Anolis sagrei: one gene and its partner. The protein of the gene in region 1 purifies or fractionates together with the protein of each later gene. This does not show direct contact. Links are inferred from orthologs where the notes say so. Each region holds a gene or a part of one and is shown on either strand. Other genes may lie near its edges.

Evidence for each region. The genes of interacting proteins can lie anywhere in the genome.
Region 2: the proteins of GIPC1 (region 1) and SH3BP4 purify together in Homo sapiens (affinity purification with mass spectrometry; 4 studies listed by BioGRID and IntAct, with this or other methods). This does not show direct contact. The link is inferred for Anolis sagrei from reciprocal best matches to the Homo sapiens genes GIPC1 and SH3BP4.

Annotation. Positions count from the first base shown.
Region 1 is NC_090022.1:128,028,242-128,035,932, reverse strand, and holds the start of GIPC1 (PDZ domain-containing protein GIPC1), read right to left. Parts: upstream 3,439-7,691; 5' UTR 3,335-3,438; intron 1-3,334. UniProt on the Homo sapiens protein: May be involved in G protein-linked signaling.
Region 2 is NC_090021.1:161,632,846-161,641,085, reverse strand, and holds the start of SH3BP4 (SH3 domain-binding protein 4), read right to left. Parts: upstream 3,097-8,240; 5' UTR 2,914-3,096; intron 1-2,913. UniProt on the Homo sapiens protein: May function in transferrin receptor internalization at the plasma membrane through a cargo-specific control of clathrin-mediated endocytosis.

The DNA.
Region 1 (7,691 bases):
ACCTTTTTTTAAAGACTTAGCTGAATAAAGGTTTCTCCTTAAGACCTAAGATGACATTGTGGAAGAAAGCAGAACTCTCTGAAAAAGCCATTCATAGACAGGGTGCCAACACTAAAGAGCTATTTTCTCTAACAGCTACACTCATTTGTCAAGAACAGGAGGGAAACAAGTTCTAGAGCTGAGGTTTGGCTTTGTTTATGTGTTCCTACATGGCAGGGAGGTATTTGACTGGATGGCTCTTGTGGTATCTTGCAATTCTATGATTCTAGATCATGAGAGGTGACACTTCTCTACAAAAGTGTACTCAGACCATATAGGGCTTTCAATAATAAAAATTACCATGCTTACTTTTAAAGACCAGCCACTGAAAGTCTCAGAGTGCCCAACATCATATCACTGGCATTTGAACTCAAGTTTTCAGGTTTCAAACAGCTTTGGCTACAGACGAAACCTGCCAAATATTAGGTATGTGCCAAGTGCTGAGTTTATCTCTGAAAAGCAGTGGGTAGATGTGGGAGAATATTGCATGCTGGAGGGGCTTAGACAAAAAAAAATTACCCCTGAGAAGCAGCTGAAGAAGAGCAAATGGTCAATTGTTCAACAGCAACTAGGCCTCGTGTATTTTTCTCTGACACTGGGTGTATTTATACCAGGCATGGGCAAACTTCGGCCCTCCAGGTGTTTTGGACTTCAACTCCCAGAATTGTGGGAGTTGAAGTCCAAAACACCTGTAGGGCCAAAGTTTGCCCATGCCTGAGCTATACTGTAGAATTAATGCAGACTGACATGACTGTAACTTAAATGGCTCAATGCAATGGAATTGTGGAAGTTGTAGTTTTACAAGGTCTTGAGCCTTCTCTGCCAAAGAGAGTTGGAGCCTAACCAAACTACAACTCCTAGGATACCATAGCACTTAAAAGGGTATCAAACTATGAATCCCGAGGCAAACCTAAACTAAGTAGAAAAATCTGGTTATACCCAACACCACACCTTACAGAGCCAAACACGTGCCAGAAAACACAGAGTATCTGCAGAATGAGGGGAAAGGGCTAAGCAGAATAACAAACAGATTAATACAAGTGGCATGTGATTTTTTTCCCTTGTTTCTTAGCTCCCTATGAAAACACTAATGCCACAGTAGAAGGATATTAGATAGCACACAGCAAGCAGGAAAGTATGCTTCCTTTGTTGCTTGGCATTTGGGTGTTGCTACCAGGTTACCCTCAATACCTACACTACAGTAAAAGGAAAACAAAGTCAGTGTAAGGACTGAACTATCCCTCCCATTGCACTGGAGATCCCAAGAGGAAACCTGCCATCAAAACACCATGTACCAGGAAGAACAAGGCAAACAGGCAACAGTCAAAGACCTAAATATATTTTGAACAAGGGGAGACTCAAAAACATTTGGCCCTCCAGATGTTTTGATTTCTACTCCCACAATTCCTAACAGTCTACCGGCTATTTGGAATTATGGGAGTTTGAGAGCCAAAGTTTGCTCATGTCTGCTCTAAAAGACCTACCTGTTAAAAACTCTAGGACCATAAAACATATGGAAACATCCTCCAGTGGTTCCCAAACTTTGGTCCTCTGGGGGAGCAGCTACACTGTTGAATTACTGTATATACTCGAGTATAAGCCTAGTCTTTCAGTCCTTTTTTAGGTTGACAAAGCCCCCCTCAGCTTATACTCAGGTGAAGGTCCTAGTGGGAAGGCATGGGGCTGAAAGGACCCTCACATCTCTGCACACCAACCCAGCTCTCCTTCCTCTCCTCCTCTCTCGGCACAGCACGCGCCTTCCCCTCCTCCTCCCTTGGCACCAGTCTTTTCCTCTTTTCCTTATTCATACACACACAGCATTTTCCCCAAGATGTATGGTTAAAATAAACTACGGAGATTATTGAAAAGGATATGTAAGCATACTTACATTGAATAAGGTTAGAATAATGATTTAATCAGAGTTGGACAGTCTTATCTTAAATTACAGTTTTATGTAAATACTGTATTCAAAATCATTTAACCTACTGATGCCTCCATTAATGTAATTTTATTTGTACCTTTTTAAAAAAAATTACTAGTGGCTGCTGCATTTCCCACCCTTAGCTTAAGGTAAAGGTTTCCCCTGACATCAAGTCTAGTCGTGTCTGACTCTGGGGAGTGGTGCTCATCTCCATTTCTAAGACAAAGAGCCAGCGTTGTCCATAGATGCCTCCAAGGTCATGTGGCCGGCATGACTGCATGGCGCGCAGTTACCTTCCCGCAGAAGTGGTACTTATTGATACACTCACATTTGCATGTTTTTGAACTGCTAGGTTGGCAGTAGCAGGACCTAACAGAGGGAGCTTACCCTGCTCCCTGGATTTGAACAACCAGCCTTTCGGTCAGCAAGTTCAGGGGCTCAGCAGTTTAATGCCCTTGGCTTATACTTCAGTCAATAAGTTTCCCCAGTTTTTGTGGTAAAATCAGGTGCCTTGGCTTATATTTGGGTCAGCTTATACTCGAGTATATATAGGTAATACACTTGCCACCACTTTAATACTATGGCTCAATGCTATGGGATCCTGGGTTTGTAGTTTGATGAGGTATGAATGCTCTTTGACAGAGAATGCAGAAGACCTTGTGAAGCTTCAGCTCCCAGGAGCCCAAAGACACTCTGAGTCCCCCCAGAGATGAGAAAGGCGGTATATAAATGCTGTAAATAAATAAATAGCCACTTCAGTTAAAGTGGTGTCAAACTGCATTCATTCCTTGGTGTAGATACACCCCAGATATCTCCCAGCCAGGAATGCTGGGAGTCGCAATACACCAGAAGGATCCAAGATTGGGAATTCTAGTCCTAGAGGGAAACTTCCCATGTAATAAAATAAACAAAAACTTTCAATACATGACAGTGATGTGTGCGAGCATGGACTATAAACTCCATCCAACCCTCTTTCCTGAAAGTGGGAGGGAAAGGCAAAGAAAAGGCGTGAGAGAAAGGAAAACAAACTCCAACTGGGGCGGGGGGGGGGGTGTCATGTGACTTTGTGACAAGGCAGAACTTCATTCAAAGAACCCAGCAACCATGGCTTTGGCTCCAACGAAGTGGAAGTCCCTCAGGGCAAAACATGACTACTAAAGGAGGCCTTCCTGGGGTCTCCTTCCCACGAATGTCGTCGTATCCAAGCAACCGGGACTGGGTTTCCTGCATGTGCGAACAGGCACGCAGCTTACGGGTTTGAGGGAGGGAAGCGTGAGGAGCCGGGACTCCTGAGCTCTGCCTTTCCGTCTACAAAAGACCCGTCTTGGCCCCTTCCTGCCCCTGGACCCCGTTCTCCCCGCCGCCTCTCCTTACCCGCGTCCGTTTCCTCGCCGGGCCCGTCCCTCAAGCCAACTCCAGCCCCGCGCAGACAGGCCTGTCCGTCAGCGATGGGCGGGACCGAAACGCCGTGCCTCCTGGCCAATCCCAGCGCGTTTCGCATTCTTCCCTGGCAAATCACAGGGTTAAGGCGGACGTTGAGGGCGTTTCACGGCAGGTCCCTTCCTTCTTCTCTTTCGCCTCTCTCCCCCATAAAGGTGCAATGGAAGGGGCGGGATTGGAGGCGGGGAAAGAAGAGCGCGAGGGAGCGGGGCATACCAATCTTGAAAAGGGGAGGGCCATTCAAAGAATGCGCCGGCTTCCCAGCCCCGAAAGTTACGTTTGGTTCGTGCTTGTGCCCTCGCAGCCTCTACTGGCCAATCGCTGTCACTACAGCCTTCTGGAAGCAATAACAAGGCCGAAAGCTGGGCGTGGTCTGAGCCAGAGGCGACCCATCTGTTCTGTTCTCAGGAAGGGAAGGGCCTGTTGGTGGGGCGCGGCCAGAGTCAACGCAGGTCGGAAAGCTGCGCGCGCAGGCGCATCCGGCTAATGGCAAGCGACCTTGTGTATCCGCGGATTCAGTCATCCGCGCCTGAAAATTATTTATTTATTTACGACATTTATATGCCGCCCTTCTCACCCAGAAAGGACACTCAGAGAGGTTTACAAGATATATATACATACAATATATTATATTATTAGCATAGTACAATATCAGTATCATATTGGCGGATCTGGTCACCTCCAGATTGGACTACTGTAATGCACTCTACGTGGGGCTACCCTTGAAAACGGCCCGGTAATTTCAATTGGTTCAACGAGCGGCGGCCAGGTTGTTAACTGGAGCTCCTTACAGGGAGTGGTCAACCCTCCTGTTTAAGGAGCTCCATTGGCTGCCGTTCATTTACCGGTCCCAATTCAAGGTGCAGGTGCTTATCTACAAAGCCCTAAACGGTTTGCGACCTGCCTACCTGCGTGACCGTATCTCTGTGTACGAACCCACACGATCTGTTCGATCTTCTGGAGAGGCCCTGCTCACGCTCCCACCACCATCGCAAGCGCGATTGGTGGGGACGAGGGAGAGAGCCTTCTCGGTGGTGGCCCCTCGACTCTGGAACTCACTTCCCAAGGACATTAGGCAAGCCCCAACTCTGGCAGTCTTTAGGAGGAGCCTGAAAACGTGGCTGTTTCAGTGTGCCTTCCCAGAATAAGGAAACTCCCAGCAATATGTCCCTAAACGCACTTTAATAATGATTTAAGATTGTCTGCACATTTCTTCCCTCTCCAAAATTTCTATCCCAGTTACATGTCACCTTGTCATGCTCAGCATTATTTTTTAATTTTTTAATTATTAAATTTGGCCGGGCCATAGGTTTTTAAATACGTTGTGTTATTGTTAATGTTTATTGTTTATTTTTGCTTATGAGTTTATTTATTGTTTTGTATTGTTGATATTATTGTTTATTGTTGTATTGTGGGCTCGGCCTCATGTAAGCCGCACCGAGTCCCTTGGGGAGATGGTAGTGGGGTACAAATAAAGTGTTATTATTATATATATTACTATATTGTACTATACTATTACATTGTAATATTATTAGTAATATTACATGTAATATAAAATATATAATTATAATATCATATTATTATTATATTGTATTACATTATAATACTATAAATATTATATGTATATATACAATATATTATATTACGTTTCATTATATTATTAGCATAGCACAGGAGACAAGATGGAACTGTTCCCTGCCCCCCCCCCCCCCTCTTCACTCTGGCCCAGAGCGGCAGTTGGTGCTGGGGGGAGGGGTCCCCCAGAAAAGACATTTGAATTGCTGTCTAATTCAAAATACTATCCAAATTATAATGCTTGCTGTCACATTATAAATTATAATGTGACAAGGATCCCCGGGTTGAGGTTGCCTTCTTTCGGGGGACTACCTCTTCTTCTTTGGATAATATTTTGAATTGGATAGCAATTTGAACTATTTGGACTTTATGTGGACTGCATTTTGAAGACAGTTTGCTTTTTGTGTGTGTTTTAATTGAAAGCTTAGTATTATACTTTTCTCTGTAGGTAACTCACCCACCCTCCTCCAGCTTCAGAAGTTATTAAAATGCTAGTTTGGCAGATCAAGTTAAGTGTAATTCCCTGTACCACTATTTTTAATGTATCAGAGGTTGCCAGTTATTAATATTGATGACACCTGGTTGCCTAAGAAATATCTATTGAAATTAGTGGGTTTAGTCACATCTAGGTCTCTTGACACTCCCAGGAGGTAGATTAAACAAGTGTTACTTAACCCGTCTGAGGTGAGCCAGGGACTAGCATTTTATGTGTGCCCATTTACTACAGCTGTTCCTTTCCTAGCAATTTGTGAGCCAGCACCTGCCTTTGGACCATGACAAGGAGCAGTGCTGCATTAGACAATAAGGCATACAAGGACTCCCAGCAGCCCCAAGTACCATAGTGAATCTTGCGGAGAGTTACTATTCAGCAGCATCAAAACAACCACTGAATAAGTGCATGGCCTATGGTATGCATGGACAATGAGTGAGTAGCCCCTTTTCCTTGAGCTTCGGAAGGTCTTTTGACCAGACCACCTAAGGTATGGAGCTCATGGACATGGTAATGACTTGACACAAAGGACATTTTCCCCAACCATGAGGGGAAGGGGATGTCACAGCCATTCCCTGTCCCAGAAGATCCAAGATCTTATCAAATAAACCAATATCACCGAACCTTTTGATAATGGATTGGATCTTCGGGGCCAAACAAAGATGTTGTTTCCATATTCTACACTGACATCAGAGCCAATCACAGCAAAGCTGTCTCGGGGTGGGTGTGGGAAATTTGGATTTGACAGTTCTATATATTCTGTATTGGCCTGCCCAAAAAGCATGTTGGCTTCTTGGCAGATTACTTTCCACCTGGAATAGAAAATAAACTTCTGTGGCCTTGTTTCATCCTGGTGAGATTTATTTGGAAATAGGGAAAGTTTGGTTGGTGCTTATTGTTTACCCAGGCTTATTGAGCCCTCCTTTTGGGTCCTCTCCAGCCTCTGCTCATGGAGGGCCCCCTAAAATCGTGCTCTGCTTCAACAGGGTGAAGGCAAGAACCAGAGGTTTATTCACTTTGGCCGAATGTAGATGTCAGGGAAGAAGTGCTCCCAAATCAGACATAAAGCCAATGGATACATACATAGATACATAAATGTCTCTAAGAAACATTTATTAGAGACTTGACAGCAATTCAAATAATGGACTTTTGCTGCTCCGGGTGCTGATTGATATAGGTTACGATCTGTGTGCTGATTGGTGGAGGAGCACCGCCTGCTGCTGCAGCTGATTACTTCCCCAGTCTAACTAGTTCCTCAGTCTAGTTCCCCAGTCTGTCAGAAATTAAATTGTTATTGTCCAGTTTGAAGCTTGTGATTGTTTTGCGTGTCCGCCTTTGGGTGCTTAAAGGAAAGGAATGTGGGCAAGGTCCAGGACTGATGAGTTTTCATGGTTTTTAATTCTGTCAGTGATCTCACAATAGAAAATAATGGGTGCCAAAACACCCAGGGAGAGACAAAGACAGCATGCTGACCTTTCAGGCTGGCCATTGTTAGGTGGAGTTCAATGTTAGCCAGGAAGGATTAGCACCAAGTGATTGTTTGAACCACCAGGAAGAGTAATGAAATTAGCCCTGGCTGTCCGTCCCCCCCCCCCCCTTCCAGGAGTGCTTGTGTAACTGTGTGTAAATGTGGTAAAGTTTATCCTTTAATGTCAGCCAGTGGGACCCTTCGTGGCCATCTAGTCAGACCTCTCTTGGTTGTGGGTTTTGGGGTTATAGTTTCAATAACAAGCCCACAGGGCTTTCTTAAGAAAGGAATATCCAGACATCATTTGACAGTTCCTTCTCCTAAAATATAGCCTACAGCGCCTAATATTTATTGCTGCTGTCCCATCCAAGTAGTAACTAGAGGTGATTCTACTTTATTTTACAAGTAGATTCCAGAATCAGACAGAATCTGGTGCCATTAAAGTATTTAAACGCTATATGCCTTTGAGATAAAATGCTTGGCTTAAGATGTGATTGAGACTTTTCTGTTGCAGACATGCGAGAAGCTCTAAATTGTATGCTCAGATTAGAGGTTTTACTCACAAAAAACTAGCCTATAGGAATGAAAAGTGCTAGCTAGAACTGAACCTTATTGAGCAAGTTTTCGTCAATATGGTTAAAATTTCCAATACAAAGCTACTGAAAGCAGTGGTCTATGGAATTGTGTCAATCCACAGAAACGTTCCAGGAAAGAAAGAAAAAAAAATCAATGGGCTTATATATAGTGCTAGTCTTTGG
Region 2 (8,240 bases), on another chromosome or scaffold:
GGAGGGGCGGATTATAATTTAAAAAAACATGACTGAATTCCTATGCACACTGAACATATCTTATTTGTAGTGAAAAAACACTATAATAATTAAAATGAAGAACAATTGTAACAAACATAAACTTATTGGTATTTCAATGGGAAATGTGGGACTGCTTGTTGTTGTTGTTGTTGTTGTGTGCTTTCAAGTAATTTCAGACTTAAGTTGACCCTGAGCGAGGGCCAGGCAATGACCTTGGAGGGCTGTATCCACCCCTCGGGCCTTAGTTTGAGGACCCCTGCCCTAGGCCATAGTTTGGGGACCCCTGCTCCAGAGGCACAGCCAAAAGGCACTATCCCATGCTGGCTGTCAGAATGTATCAGGGCATCCTCCCAGTTCTAGGGATGTTGAATGGATTGATCTGCTTCAATGCGTGTGCCTTCAAGTTCCCTTAGGCAAGGAAATCCTCTGAGTGCTTTTGCCCAGCACATGGACAAGGCATTATTTTACCTAATAAATAAAAAAGCAGCCAGACTAAAATGATGAAAGATCTGGAGACCATAAATCGCTATGAATAGTGTCTTAAAAGAGCTGTGGATATTTAGGCTGAAGAAGAGGAAGCTGAGAGGAGACATGATTGCCAGGAATTTCATAAAGAAGAGGGAACTGGCTTGCTTTCCGCTGCCTTAGAGACTAGGACTGGGTTCAAACTACAGGAAAGGAGATTCCACCTGAACTTGAGGAAGAACGTCCTGTGAGAGCTATGTAACAGTGGAACTCTCTGCTTTGCAGTGTGGTGAGGGCTCCTTCTTTGGAGGCTTTTAAACAGAGGCTAGGTGGCCATCTGTCAGGGGTTTTTGATTGTGCTTTTCCTGCTGGGCAGAGAGTTGGATTGGATGGCCCTTGGGGTCTCTTCCAACCTTATGATCCTCCTCCTTCCTAGTGTTTGCCCCACAAATTCACAGGGTCCGCTAGGGGCTCTTCCACACAGCCAGGCATGTAGCTTCACCCCCCCCCCCCCCCAAATTCTCATGGTGGTCCGTGAGAAGGCCTTACTGGTACATTATTTAAACTGTTATGTTTATTAATATCATGATCTGATCACCATGCTCAATATATCTCATGTGTATTGGGGTAACGATACAAAAGGTTTGCTAAGGTAGACCCTCTTTCACCCAGACTCAGCCCCACCCCAAGAATCAAACTCACCCCCCCCCCCCCCCCCGAATCAAAATCCTGGCTACGGGCCTGCACACAGCCCTATATCCCAGAATATCAAGGCAGAAAATCCCACAATATCTGCTTTGAACTGGGTTATCTGAGTCCACACTCCCATATATTCCAGTTCAAAGCAGAAATTGTGTGGTGTGGAAGGGGCTTAGGTTCCAACCCAATGATCCTAACCCAAGCCAGTGACAACAAGTCTCGCTCTGAGTGTCTCCATATGCAAAACCCGACCAATAACCCTCCAAAATCTCGCAGGGAACCAGGGTTTCCCGCCTGCTCTTCTCCCATTGAAAGCCTCCAAATGGACCAAGAAAAAGCCATGGGATACGTTTGCAAAGGAATGCAGTTTGGACTGCGCTATATGGAGCCCCCGGTGGCGCAGTGGGTTAAACCGCTGAGCTGCTGAACTTGTTGACCAAAAGGTTGTAGGTTCAAATCCGGGGAGTGGTGTGAGCTTCCGCTGTCAGCCCCAACTTCTGCCAACCTAGCAGTTCGAAAACATGCAAATGTGAGTAGATCAATAGGTACCTTACCTCCAGCAGGAAGGTAAGGGTGTTCATAGAATCATAGAATCAAAGAGTTGGAAGAGACCTCATGGGCCATCCAGTCCAACCCCCTGCCAAGAAGCAGGAATATTGCATTCAAATCACCCCTGACAGATGGCCATCCAGCCTCTGTTTAAAAGCTTCCATGCAGGTTGGCCAGCTACATGACCTTGCAGGTGTCTACGGACAATGCCGGCTCTTCGGCTTAGAAATGGAGATGAGCACCAACCCCCAGAGTCGGACACGACTGGACTTGATGTCAGGGGAAAGGTTTTACCTTATATGGTCAGTATAGACCAGGCATGGGCAAACTTCGTCCCTCCCTCCAGGTATTTTGGACTTCAACTCCCACAATTCCTAACAGCCGTGCATGGGCAAACTTCGTCCCTCCCTCCAGGTATTTTGGACTTCAACTCCCACAATTCCTAACAGCCGTGCATGGGCAAACTTCGTCCCTCCCTCCAGGTGTTTTGGACTTCAACTCCCACAATTCCTAACAGCCGTGCATGGGCAAACTTCAGCCCTCCCTCCAGGTATTTTGGACTTCAACTCCCACAATTCCCAACAGCCGTGCATGGGCAAACTTCGGCCCTCCCTCCAGGTATTTTGGACTTCAAAACACCTGGAGGGAGGACCGAAGTTTGCCCATGCCTGGCGTAGACCATATAAAGTATGTGTTTCTATGGGTCTGCACTACACTGGCCGTGGAATGAAGTCCAGGCGGCATTCTTTGGGAGGGGAGACTCCCCAGCCTGAGAAGCAGACGCCCCCAGACCTGGAGTCCAAAGAAGGGGGGGGGCACCCCTAAAGCCCCGAAGCCATGCCGAAGAGAAACGAGCCCCCCTCCCTTTCCCGTGGAAAGTCTCCACTAACTCGATACAATTACAGACCCCAGGAGCGGGGGGCCCTGGGGAGGGGAAACTAATCCGCATCAAGAAGCAACCCGCAGCAAGTCTCGGAAAGTGTGGTGGGAGTGGCTCCTTCCAACACCCGAGGCGCCTTCTCAAGGAGGCATCCAGCCAATGGATCCATTCCGCTTTGCAGGCTGGCGCTTTGGGGGGGGGGGGGGGGGCGAGGGAGAGAGAGAGAGAGAGAGAGAGGAGGCACTCAGTACTGACCCCCCCCCCCCCCCACTCCATGGGCGCCTCTCGGAGCGGCTTACCTCTCCGCTGCTCTCCAGCCGGATGTGGAGGAGTAGAAGCGCGGCCAAGGCAGATAGATCCAGCGCAGGCGGTCAGGGGGTCAAGCAGGCAGCCAACTCCGGGGCTCTCTCATCCTTTCTCTCCGCCAGGGAGGCGAGGCAAGGCAAGGCAAGGCGGGGGCGTCCCCTGGGCGGCCGCGGCAGGGACCTCCTCGCTGATGTCACGGGGGAGGGAGGGGGGGGAGGGAGGGAGAGGGGAGGGAAGGAGCAGGGGGAGGGGCCGGGAGGGGGAAGCCCGGAGGAAGAGCCCCGCCCCCTCGCCACGCCAGGGCACGCGCCCAAGGGGAGGAGAGGGAGAGCGCGCGCCCCCGATAGCCACAAGTGGGGAGCAAGGAGAACTTTCAACCTGAGGGTGGGAAGGCGGAGGGGAGGTGTGTGGGGAGAATGGCTGCCCCCTATACGGGGCAAGATAATTATAATAATAGTCTCCTTGTGGAGAGAAAAAAGCAGGTAAAAATAAAGAAACAATGTATTGTCGAAGGCTTTCATGGCCGGAATCACTGGGTTGTTGTAGGTTTTTTCGGGCTGTATGGCCATGGTCTAGAGCAGGGGTCAGGAACCTTCGGCCTTCCAGGTGTGGTGGACTTCAACTCCGACAATTCCTTGGGCCAAGGTAAGCCTTTGGGACAAATGCCGAGCCTCAAGGAATTGTGGGAGTTGAAGTCCACCACACCTGGAGGGCCGAAGGTTCCCCATGCCTGGTCTAGAGGCATTCTCTCCTGACGTTTCACCTTCATCTATGGCAAGCCTCCTCAGAGGTAGTTCTGAGGAACTAGGAAAAAGGGTTTATATTAGGCCTGGGTAACAACGGAAAAATTTGTTTCTAAAATCCATTCATTTTTTGGGGGATTTTGCGTTTCGATATTTAAAATAATTACAAAATTTTCCTTTTAAAAAGTTCGATATTTATGAAATTTCGTAAATGCTAAAAAAATAACGAATCGATTTCCGAAACAATAACGAATCGATTCGTTAATGGCAGACGCAACCGCAAAATACGCTAAAAAACCTCCAAAAACTTCTGAAGCTTCCCTCTCCCTCTGTTGTTGACTGTTGGTGTGATATTATAATTTTTTTTCACTAATTAAACCATAAAACTGGCCCAGATATGCGGAAATAATAACGAAACGACCTCAGAACAATAACGAAACGAATACAATAACGAAATATGAAGCATTTACAAAACGTCTTTAAAAATTCGTTTTTTTAAAAAATTGCTCCAGAATGGTTCGTTATCGCTTCGTAATCAACAAAATTAATGAATTATTAACAAATTACGAATTAACGAAATGAAACTGCCCAGCCCTAGTTTATATATCTGTGGAATGACCAGGGTGAGACAAATGACTCTTGTCTGCTGGAGCTAGGGTATGAATGTTTCAACTGACCACCTTGATTAGCATACAATGGGCTGACTGTGCCTGGAGCAAACTTTTGTTGAGAGGTAATTAGATGTCTACATAGGGACCACCAAACGCAGCATTGCCCAAACACGAATCAAGGAACATGAAAGGCACTGCAGACTACTTCAACCAGAGAAATCAGCCATAGCAGAGCACCTGATGAACCAACCTGGACACAGCATTTTATTTGAGAACACAGAAATGCTGGACCACTCTCACAACCACCATGTCAGACTACACAGAGAAGCCATTGAAATCCACAAGCATGTGAACAATTTCAACAGAAAGGAGGAAACCATGAAAATGAACAAAATCTGGCTACCAGTATTGAAAAACTCTAAAATTGCAGCAGCACAACAACAGAGAGGAAGCAGGCTGGGATATCTAATTACCTCTCAACAAAAGTTTGCTCCAGGCACAGTCAGCCCATTGTATGCTAATCAAGGTGGTCAGTTGAAACATTCACACCTAGCTCCAGCAGACAAGAGTCCTTTGTCTCACCCTGGTCATTCCACAGATATATAAACCCTTTCTCCTAGTTCCAACAGACCTCACTACCTCTGAGGATGCTTGCCATAGATGCAGGCAAAACGTCAGGAGGGAATGCCTCTAGACCATGGCCATATAGCCCGAAAAACCTACAACAACCCAGTGATTCCGACAATACATCCTCACCATATACGGCTCTCACAGTCAGAACTTCCTGACTGTGAGAGCCGTTCAGCAGTGGAACTCTCTGCCCTGGAGTGTGGTGGAGGCTCCTTTGGAAGCTTTTAAACAAAGGCTGGATGGCCATCTGTCAGGGGTGATTTGAATGCAATATTCCTGCTTCTTGGCAGGGGTTGGACGTGATGGCCCATGAGGTCTCTTCCAACACTTTGATTCTATGATTCTATGATTTATTTACTAGCTGTACCCGCTATGCGTTGCTGTGCCCAACCTTCCTTCCCTCCCTCTTTCCTTTCTTTCTCTCCTTTCCTCCCTCCCTTTCTTTCCTTCCTTCTCTTCATCTCCCCCCCCCCTTTTCTTTCCCTTCTCCTTCTCCCCTTTCTTCCTTCTCTACTTATTATTGGACTGCAAATCCCAGCAGTCCTCCTGATTGATTTATGTACCTATCTACCTATCTATCTCTATTTAATCCAGTGTTTCTCAACCTGGGGGTCGGGACCCCTGTTGGGGTCATGAGGGGGTGTCAGAGGGGTCGCCAAAGACCATCAGATAACATAGTATTTTCAGTTGGTCATGGGGGTTCTGTGTGGAAAGTTTGGTCCAATTGTATCGTTGGTGGGGTTGAGAATACTATTTCATTGTGGATGAACTATAAATCCCAACAACTACAACTCCCAAATGGCAAGGTCTATTTTCTCCAAACAGTGTTCACATTTGGGCATATTGAGTATTTGTGCCAAGTTTGATCCGGATCCATCATTGCTTGAGTCCACAGTGTTCTCTGGATGTAGGTGAACTACAACTCCAAAAAGCCAAGGTCAATGTCCACCAGACCTTCCCAGTATTTTCTCTTAGTCGTGGGATTTCTGTGTGCCATTTTTGATTCATTTCCATCATTGATGGAGTTCAGAAGGCTCTTTGATTTAAGGTGAACTATAAATCCCAGTAACTCCAGCATTACCAAATGACAAAATCAATCTCCCCGACCCCACCAGTATTCAAATTTTGGGCGTATCGAGTATTTGTGCCAAATTTGGTCCAGGGACTGAAAATATATTCCGCATATCAGATATTTACATTACAATTCATAACAGTAGCAAAATTACAGTTATGAAGTAGCAACAAAAATAACGTTATGGTTGGGGGTCACCACAACATGACGACCTGTATTAAGGGACCGTGGCATTAGGAAGGTTGAGAACCACTGATCTAATCTATTTATCTTATCGATCTGGAGCAGAGGTCCTCAAACTATGGCCCGGGGACCGGACACGGCCCTCCAAGGTCATTTACCCGGCCCTCGCTCAGGGTCAATCTAAGTCTGAAACGACTAGACACACAACTACAACAACAATCCTATCTCATAAGCCAAAAGCAGGCCCACACTTCCCATTAAAGTACTAATAAGCTTATATTTGTTAAAATTGTTCTTCATTTTAATTATTATATTGTTTTTAAGTGTTTTTGCACAATAAATAAGATATGTGCAGTGTGCATAGGAATTCATTCATTTTTTTTTTCAAATTATAATCCGGCCCTCCAACAGTTTGAAGGACTGTGACCTGGCCCTTTGTTTAAAAAGTTTGAGGACCTCTGATCTGGAGGATTGCTGGGAGTTGCAGTCCAGGAATAGGAAATTGGAAACATGCAGGGATTGGGATGCTCTCAGAGAGATCCAAGGAGAAGAAAACTTGCATCTTGGAAGAAGTGCATTTGGATCATCTTCTCCTAAAAGGCCTGGTCTAGGGGATGCTGGGAGCCGTAGTCCGGAAGAGAGTGAGGATATGCAGAAAAAATGAAATGCAAAGATACAGAATGGGGGACTTGTGGCTCGACAGTGGTATATGTGAAAAAGATCTTGGGGTCCTCGTGGACAACAAGTTAAACATGAGCCAACAATGTGATGCGGTGGCATTGACTTAGAGACACATAACTGTTGTAGAGCAATTTAGAATGGCTGTGGATTAGGCCCAAGCCATTGTGGATTGCCTGGTGAGAAAGGAGAAGCCAATATTGCAAAATAAATCTCACCAAGTTGAAGCAGAAGCCACCGAGATGATTTATTAGCTCCCTCCTACCCATGACTTCCTCTCACGTATTTATACATGGCCCTTACCATGTCTCCTCTCAGCCTTCTCTTCTTCAGGCTAAACATGCCCAGCTCTTTAAGCCGCTCCTCATAAGACTTGTTCTCCAGACCCTTGATCATTTTAGTCACCTTCCCCTAGATACATTCCAGTTTGTCAATATCTCTCTTGAATTGTGGTGCCCAGAATTGGACACAATATTCCAGGTGTGGTCTAACCATGACAGAAAAGAGGGGTAGCATGACTTCCCTGGATCTAGATACTATACTCCTATTGATGCAGGCCAAAATCCCATTGGCTTTTTTTGCCGCCGCATCACATTGTTGGGTCAAGATATATGAATGAGCTTACATTTTGAAATGGTTGTTGTTGTGTGTCTTCAAGTCAATTTGGACTCTTGGTGACCCTGTCCTGGGGTTTCTTTGACAGCATTTATTCAGATAATGTCCACCCTGCCTTCCTCTTTGGCGGAGAGAGCATAACTTGCCCAAGGTGACTCTGTGAGTTTCAGCGGCTGAGCAGGTTTTCCAGAGTCATAATCCAACTGTCAGACCATCACTTGAGGCTTTGTATGAATTTAACTAATGTGTAACAATTGCTGGTTATATTTATGGCCTTGCCATTTGGGGAATGGTTCCCTGGATATACAGCAATAAGAGTTCAATTATTTCTGAGTCATGTCCATTAAAGAAAAGATACCATTAACCCTAATAATTTTTATTCTGTACAAACTTAATTGTACACTTTGTAGTCTAGCTTTCTTTCAGGAAGAAACTGAAATCCAGAAGAGGTTTATGACAGTGTCAGAAAAAGAATCGGGGGTGAACATCCTTTACATTTTTGAGCAAACAGATGACAGCAATAATGTTTGATCAAGTGGGTTTCTTGCCCTCATCTGCCCCTGTTTACTTTATAGGTGCACAGTGAGTACCGTATATTCCGACATATAAGACAACTGAGTGTGTAAGACCCCCAACTTTTCCAGTTAAAATATAAAGTTTGGGATATACTCGCTGTATAAGACTGCCCCTCTTCCAACGCACACCAAATAAAAATTTAAAAAGCATCAGATTTGATTTCAATATGGTAATTTTCCTATTACCATACCTCCTTCTCTGCCTCTCAGATC